Linked DNA regions of Bombyx mori. Each later gene encodes a partner of the first gene's protein in a complex. Links are inferred from orthologs where the notes say so. Each region holds a gene or a part of one and is shown on either strand. Other genes may lie near its edges.

Region 1 (4,615 bases):
GATGCTGATTTTTTGTTTTGTCAGCTTGACGGTACCTACGTAGTGTACTTTGCTTTTTTTCTAGTAGCCTGCTTGCGAACTTGCTACTCGCCTCTTACCTTATATTAAATTATGAACTGTATTGAGCAATAGAATTAAAGAAATTAATTGAAACAGCAATGATAAGAACGCGAGATATTTTATTTTATGTGGTTGTTTATTATTTCTTTCGGTTTATTATTAAATATTATTTCTTCTTTCTCTGTCGAATCCGCGGCACTCGAAGTTGTGTCTGAATACACCATCTTGGCCAAATTTTTTATCTAGGCAGGGCCAACTTCGAGAAGGAAGCTGATAGGCGCGTACAGTTGGGCTGGGCTGCGTATGGAAAGCTCTGTCATATCTTTAACTCAGCAAACCAGCAAAGCCTAAAGATGAAAGTCTTCAACGATTGCGTGCTAACGGTCATGACATAATATGGCGCTCAAACGTGGACATTGACCGTAGGTCTGACTCGTAAGTTCAAAGTCACACAGCATGTTATGGAAAGGGATATGCTCGGAGTTTCTTTCATGGATCGAGTCAGAAATGAGGAAATCCGTCGAAGAACCAAAGTAACCGGTATAGCCCTAAAGATTAGCAAAGCTGACGTGGCAATAGGCCGGATATACGTATCGCAGACCCAATGACCGATACCCGATACCACATACCCGGAAGCGCAGTGCTGAACGTCCCGCTTCCCTGTGAACCGAAGACTTACGGTGATATGCTGGAGAAGATTGGATGCGGAAGGCGGAGGACCGTTCATTATGGCAGACTATGGGGAGGCGTACATCCAGCAGTGGAGAGATAAAGGCAGATGATTATGTAGGTTCTTAATCGTATTGTTTCTATAAAAGTCTAAGATGTGGTTTTCGAGCTCTTCCAAAAATTTATTACTTTATTCCATCTCACTTACTTAATTCCACAAAACATTCAATTTTATTCCTTAATTTCATTTTATACCTAAACTTTTTTACTGGGCAAGGAACATTGGTGTCGGCTTATTTTTTTAAATTATAATAATTAATAAATTATTGTTATGAGTATTAATTTTTTTGCCAATTTAGTGAATCAATCAAACATTTTTGATACTGGAGTTTATAGTTGTCTCGACTTTTTGACGGGAACGCGAGAAGCGAAGTTGTGTGAATTGTTTTATTTTGTCTATTTAGTGTTTCTTCAGGTTTAAATCTGTAATAACGGTGGCTTATTAACCTTTTAGTATCTGTAAAAGTGCACAAATGTGGGAAAATGAAACAAAGCCGATGGACGTAGCTTTTCGGGATCTTCCAAAATGTCCACTGAAAAAGTTTCAATAATTATTATCCACCATTTTACTGAGATTATACTTCATCCTATGTTATCTCATCTCATTTAATTTAATTTCATACCAATTGATTAATGTTTCAAATTAATCAACTTTGTTTTTTATTTCATTCTGTATTATCATTTTTCATAAGAAAAGGAAATAAACAATTAGTCGTTATGGTTTGATACCTTTGCCATTACAGTTAGAAAAATAGAACTTCTACTACTGTTAACTTAATGTCAACTCAAAATCTATGTCAAAATCTACGAGGCAAACAGCAAACACTCATAAATAAAGAATAATACCATTTGAAACAAAAAAATTGCAATGCAACTTGAGTAGCCTTATTAAACATTATACATATCTTAATTAAACTAATATTATGAACTTGGAAATGTAATTGTATTGTACTTCTTCGAACCATGTGTGATAGTGACGAACAAGGTGACCACAGCCGTTCAGGCTTGGATCTGACCGGGTTCTTGTTTGGTAATATTGACGAAAGGGGTCAGTTAGAAGATGATGGATTGCTAGATGGTGAATCGAAGCGAATGTTATCATCGCTTAGCCGCTTAGGTTTAGGGTCTATGCTCTCTGAAGTCCTGGAGGTTGAGGAACCAGTTAAAGAAGAGGAAGAAAAAGGTTAGTGTTTTTTTTTATCAATTTCGACTCTGCATTGTCGATGTTGAGTGTGTTACTACATTTGACGACACATTTGACTAAATTTGTCTAAATTTTGACTACATTTGAATAAACATGCCTTGAAAGTAAACCAGTAAATGTAATAATACTTTAGAATATGTGTTTGTAATTGTCACTACGGACCTTAAATGAATAAAATTAAAGGGGTAAAGCTAAAAAGAAGTCGTAGAATATCAACTGGGGATTTTCACATTTTATTCATTCTGTTTACACAAATCTCGAAGTACTGACCTGATTTTCATGTAGATTTTGTAGGTACTAGTGAGACAGAATATCTTGCTGCAGAAAGTAGGCTTTGCTTCATTACAGAAGAATGTTGCAAAAAATGTTATTGTCATTTAATTATTTTCGAAATTATATATAATTTATAATTAGTATGTAAGTACCTAGCTCTATTTGTATGTTTTCACTTCTAAACCACTATACTAAGTTTGAATTTAGTTTCGTGTCGAAATTATTACTGTATAAACCTTAGGAAATAATATGGCCTATATTTTGTCCCACTGCTGTAAATGGGTCTCCGTCACTCTTATATAAAAAGTAAATGGGTTGTGCACAGCTGTATTGGTAATTGAATGAAAGCCAAATAAAAAAAAGTAAAATAGTAAACAAATAGTTGTTGATTTTTATATTTCAAACCTATATTAGATATTAAGAAACCTTTTCATTAGTGTAAATTAGCACATTTTTTAAATGGTAACATGCACATAGACATCACATGGCAAATCAGTTTGAAGTCCCAAATGCCGAAATCACCTACTCTTGAAATGGAATGCTTGCTTATTTTCTAGTAAAAATATGCAGAACCTTTGCCTTACCTTTAAGTAGCTGATATAAAAGTTTTGAATTGGATAACCAATGGTATTATGAGAAATATGCACTTATGATGAGAATATGCACATAGATTAGCAGTGAGTAAGCAAACTTCAGTCATAAATCATACATAGTCAACAGTGAAATCCAAGTCAGGAAACTTAGAAGATAGTAGTTTCTTTTAGTATGGTTCAAACTACTGTTAAGGTTTAATCTCACATTTTCTTATGTCAACTGAAATTTTAACTTAACTTTTAAACTGAAGACATTATTAATTGCAGCAATGGTAAACATCTAATTCTTTATTTTATTTCATCAGACTATAATGAGAAAAGTCCATCGGCTGTGGACTTTTTTGACATTGAAGATGCAGCAGAGGATATAAAAGTATGTTTTTGATTTCACAAACCAACTTATAATATTGCATAGTATTTAATCTATTAAACAGCTATCTATTCTATCTAAACACCTACCATTATTTTAAAACTAATCACTAGCTCTGAAATAAATTTATGTTGGTGTTACAGGTAGAAAATAATGTGATAAAATTTGAAAATACTTCAGATGTACAAACTGTGCATAGCAGCAATGTTCCTGTGATTATTGATTCACAGAGTATTAAAGAGGAATTAAAAGAAGATACTTGGAGGGACACTGATATTGCAGGAGAACAAGAGGTACAGAGTACCAATGATGATGGCTATGAAGGTGATATGGAAGGTGATGGTGGACTTATGCCCCCTCCTTCGACAGTTCCGTTAGTATATTCTTTTCCAACTTATGAATGAAAAGGGAACAGATTCACCCAATTAGATAGAGAATTTCATTTTATGACAACACAAATTGCATAATTGCTAATAGTATGATATAATGTAACCAAATTAATGGCTTATATGTAAGTACCAATATGTTGCCTATTTCGTAATCAAAATTTAATTTAGTAGATATTGGTAAATACAGAAATACAATATGACATTAAAATAAAATGAAAATTAATTGTTTTACAGACCCCCCAAACAAGAAAAACCCAAAAAACTAGATACTCCATTGGCTGCAATGCTTCCATCTAAATATGCCAATGTTGATGTCACAGAACTGTTTCCGGATTTCAGACCAGATAGAGTGAGTAATATGTTGTTTTTAAATATTAACAAGAGCTGAATTCTCAAGCTAATAAATGTTATTTATTTGCTGTTTTCATGAAATTTTATTTGATAAATATTCATGTAGGTACTTCTTTTCTCTCGACTTTTTGGACCTGGAAAACTGTCCAGCTTACCGCAAATATGGCGCGGTGTTAAAAAACGTAGACGTCGAAAGCGCAGTGGAAGTACAGGCAGTGACACACCACCGATGGTTCCAGACAGTCAGGAACCTCAATATGCAAGTGACGATGAAGAGAAACTTCTCAAGTAAATATACTGAAGATTAAAACAGCATTTTCTTTATCAATAGCTTACTCTCTTATGTATGTATCCTTAAATTAATGATTTAAAAATAAATTTAATAACACTTATTTTAGGCCTATGGAAGAAAATCAACAGATGTCTAATGACGATAAGGGATTAGGCTCAGGAGACAAAGCACAAAGGCCAACACCGGCCCACTGGCGTTTTGGTCCTGCTCAAGTTTGGTATGATATGTTGAATGTACCAGAGACAGGTGATGGGTTTGACTACGGATTCAAATTAAAGGTATGGAACAACATCATGTATTTTTCTAAATATATTAATAAAATTATACTTTAAATCGTCTTCGTCTTAATGGATG
Region 2 (3,832 bases), on another chromosome or scaffold:
TTTACATGCAGAGTAAATTCATGAATTGCATGTAAAGTAATCTTTATATGCAATGCATAAATTTAAAGCTAAAATCATTTCAAGGACAAACATCTAAATATATTCTTCATTTCCAGCACAAATAAATTTACAGTTCAGTTATCAAGAGATGCATCTTCACAACTGAAACGTTACTTACACGAACAGAAAAATTCCTCAGTAATAATAAATATAATAAATAATCATATACAAATCGAAGTCCATGATGGTCCAGGAAGAACTCAAGCACAAGTTCGAGCTACAGCTGGAGGGGTACTTGGAGAACCAATGAAAAGTGGTGAGAATGTTGAATAATTATCGAATTACTATAAACACCAATGAGAATGAGAGCCATTAAATATTAACCTGCATAGGTAGGTACCACCGTTCTACGTTTTTCTGCTGCAGTAATAAGTTCCTGTTTTAATGTTGAGACAACTGATAAACATTAGACTTGGTTTTTCTACCTCATGTCTTAAGATGTGTGATGACATTTAAGCTTTGATTTGTATGAGCTCTGATAACCACATATCACCATGAGAGCCACATATCATCATTGTTCACTCATCTATACATTCAATTGTTCTCCAGTTTTTCTTCCGGTATTTAAATAGTGACACTGATTCAATGAAATTGTAACTATACTGTAAATAACATTATGATGACATTGCATCACAGGGCCAAAAAATAAATGACTCTTAAGTAGGTAGGCCAAATAAATAGAATACATTTTATTATAAATAATTATATAAACGACAATACCTAATGAACACAAGAACAATGATAAGATTAAACTTTTTAAATTTAAATTAAACAAAAAATTAAATTATATAGAAAATCGCACCAAAGTGTATTATGGGCTCCTGAAAGAGCCCGATATTCAAGTTCTACCGGCTCCGGTAGAAGACGAAGAAGAAGTAGAAGAAACCCCTGACAAACCAAAAAAGAAAAAAGCGAAAAAAGATAATCTTTTTATGAAGAAACCAAAATCTGACCCAAATGCACCTCCTAATGACAGGATCCCTCTACCAGATCTGTAAGTCTTGTACTGATTGCAAATTTATGAATTTTTTAGAAAGAAATTGTGTGAAATAAAAAATATAGTATTATGTGCACATATTTTAATTTATTATTTTAGAAAAGAAATTGATAAAGTAGAGAAAGGCAAAGCACTCAGAGAAGCATCAAAACGTGTTCAGCTAGGACCAGACAGCTTGCCCTCTATTTGTTTCTATACATTACTGAACAGCGGACATACTGCAATTAGTTGTGATATTTGTGACGATTCCACCCTTTTGGCTGTGGGATTTAATAACTCAAACATAAAGGTATACATAGTATATAGCGAATGGTATTGATTTAATGTGTTATGATTTTCAGGTATATGCTTTTTACTAACTAACAAAAAATAGCATAGGAATGAAGCTGCTATTTTTAATTAGAGCTTTTGAAGGAACTGTATCGCCTAAGACTAGATTTTTTCTTTGAGAAGTTTTTGAAAAAAGAAAACCTGACTAGAGATGCTACCACGTTTTTCCCAATTTAGCACTCTTACTATTGTAGCGACAGCTATTACAGAATAGAAGATATTTGTCAAAAACACATCATCAAACACATAAGCACATCTAAGTTTCGAGCATTAGGACAAAGACACTCGCTCAGTGATCATTCCTAGGTCGTTATCCACAAAACTGTAAACCCAGTAAAATATGAAGTAACCGCTTGTAAATATAACGCTCTCATCATGTTTCCACTTGTGTACATATTTTTCTACATGACTGTAAAGATCAGAGATCACTTAATGCTAAAAAGCTTTTACGATAATATTTAAGTACAGTAAGTATACGAGGCTTAAATTAAGCATCAAAAGGTCGTTGCAAAATTCAAATCAGAGTTGTTAAATATTTTATTCCTAATTACCTCAAAGGCTCAGGGACATGCCTTAATACTAACGACATGTCGCAATGCTCGGGAAAAATCTGAGAAAGGGAGAGTTAGTTAATTCCAGGCAAAGCCGAGTGACACAATGAACTCTTAAATCTCGCTGTGGAAACCCTACGATAAGCATTGCCCTGTGGTAAGGGTAGTTATTAATGGTAGATCACGACTCAGAGCAGCCCCTAATAGATCGAAGTATCTTCGGGTACCCAATGATTGAAAACCATCCGAGAAACTAATCGATAATTCTAAAGAAACTATCTTCTCAAATTATAATTTGTCTCTAATTATTACTACCTAAACACTACTCATTCATCCTAAAACTCAAAATTATATTCTAATTTAAAATATTTTAGGTATGGACATTGACTCCCATTAAACTGCGAGGAATGAAATCTGCAGAAAAACTACAAGATATAGACAGGGAAGCAGGTATAAATTTGGTTAAAATATATAATTGTTTTCAAATGATTTAATCTAATATAAATAAATTGCTTACTTTTAGGTGATGTACTCGTGAGGATGATGGAGGAAAAGGACCGTGATACGTGCCGCAACCTTTTTGGGCACTCCGGCCCCGTTTATAAAGTTGCATTTGATCCTTTTAAAACAATGCTGCTTTCGTGCTCTGAGGATACAACTGGTACGTGGGTCCGGTTTAACAAACTTTGAAATCGGAATCAAAGTTCCCAGTCTGAACGGGGCAGTGAACCGGCTCTGTATTTTACAAATATATTATATTATCTCCTCGCGTCGTTTCCTCACTGCTGAGGGTCGTGACCATTATACTTCGACATGATTTTACTCCTTGTAATGTCCCGCCAGCGCCTCCGATTATTGGCCGCAGGAAGGGCGTCGTGGAATGGGATCTCGTGGATCTCGTGATATATGACTTATCATTAAAACCGGCTAGTAAGTTAATTAAATGAAATTTCGAATGTGATGCACTGTCCCTTTCCAACAATGCATGCGTTACCAAAAGAAACTTTGGTATTATTGCTTTTTTATTTCCCTTGTAGGCAGACCAGATACGGCTCCCCTGATGGTGAGTGGTTACCGTCGCCTATGGACGTCAGGAACGCCAGGAGCATAGTTAAGCCGCAGCCTACCGCTAAGTACCGTTAAGCTTGCACTCTGTCTGTCATGAATAAACTTTACAAATAATCAATTACATTACAAATAATCAAAGAATCAGTTCATGTCTCTATTTTTGAAGTATAGGTTTGCGATGACTATGATGAATTACAGTTTCCTAACAAACAAAAATTTGTTTATAGCTACATAATTACACCATTTGATGGAAAATTTATTGAAGACTGAAATAATATTGGTAATGGACCTACAGAAATTTCTTAGTCGGATTTCTAGTAACTGTAGTGGTTCGGTTAACACAAACTTGTTCGCGAAACGTCTACTTTTAACGATCTTACAGATCTTATTTTCGACTATTTTGAATTTATCTTCAGTCACTCAAAATCGCTGATGGAAGTCAATTATCTAATGCGGTACCCATTTTTCTACTGATGCCACGGTATAATTCGTATTCGGAAATAACATGATATTTAACTTTTCTAGAATTGTGAATAAAATTTTTCAAAGCAAACAATGCGAAAACACACAGAGAACACACTAAACTTAAACCAGAAATCACTCCCTATAATAATTTGAATATGGAATTGGGAAATAAATTAAAAGATATTTGAGCCCAAAAATGTTATCAAATTATAATGGGCAAACTCATAAGGATCTAACTACTTTACAGATTATTTTTATTATTATTATATTATCATTTTCTATTAAACGATCGGCTGTTATTTTATTCAATAAATTGAAAAGATTAATATCTAAAACTTAGTATTAACGAATCTATACTTAT

What was found.
Region 2: Taf1 (region 1) and transcription initiation factor TFIID subunit 5 share a complex: the UniProt entries of both Caenorhabditis elegans proteins name them as parts of the TFIID basal transcription factor complex. The link is inferred for Bombyx mori from reciprocal best matches to the Caenorhabditis elegans genes taf-1 and taf-5.

What each region holds. Positions count from the first base shown.
Region 1 is NC_085123.1:8,778,367-8,782,981, reverse strand, and holds the start of Taf1 (transcription initiation factor TFIID subunit 1), read left to right. Parts: upstream 1-1,597; 5' UTR 1,598-1,752; coding exon 1,753-1,972; intron 1,973-3,164; coding exon 3,165-3,232; intron 3,233-3,372; coding exon 3,373-3,602; intron 3,603-3,852; coding exon 3,853-3,967; intron 3,968-4,075; coding exon 4,076-4,257; intron 4,258-4,367; coding exon 4,368-4,539; intron 4,540-4,615. UniProt on the Caenorhabditis elegans protein: The TFIID basal transcription factor complex plays a major role in the initiation of RNA polymerase II (Pol II)-dependent transcription.
Region 2 is NC_085110.1:9,225,145-9,228,976, reverse strand, and holds part of transcription initiation factor TFIID subunit 5, read left to right. Parts: intron 1-116; coding exon 117-316; intron 317-852; coding exon 853-1,054; intron 1,055-1,156; coding exon 1,157-1,346; intron 1,347-2,312; coding exon 2,313-2,388; intron 2,389-2,461; coding exon 2,462-2,599; intron 2,600-3,832. UniProt on the Caenorhabditis elegans protein: The TFIID basal transcription factor complex plays a major role in the initiation of RNA polymerase II (Pol II)-dependent transcription.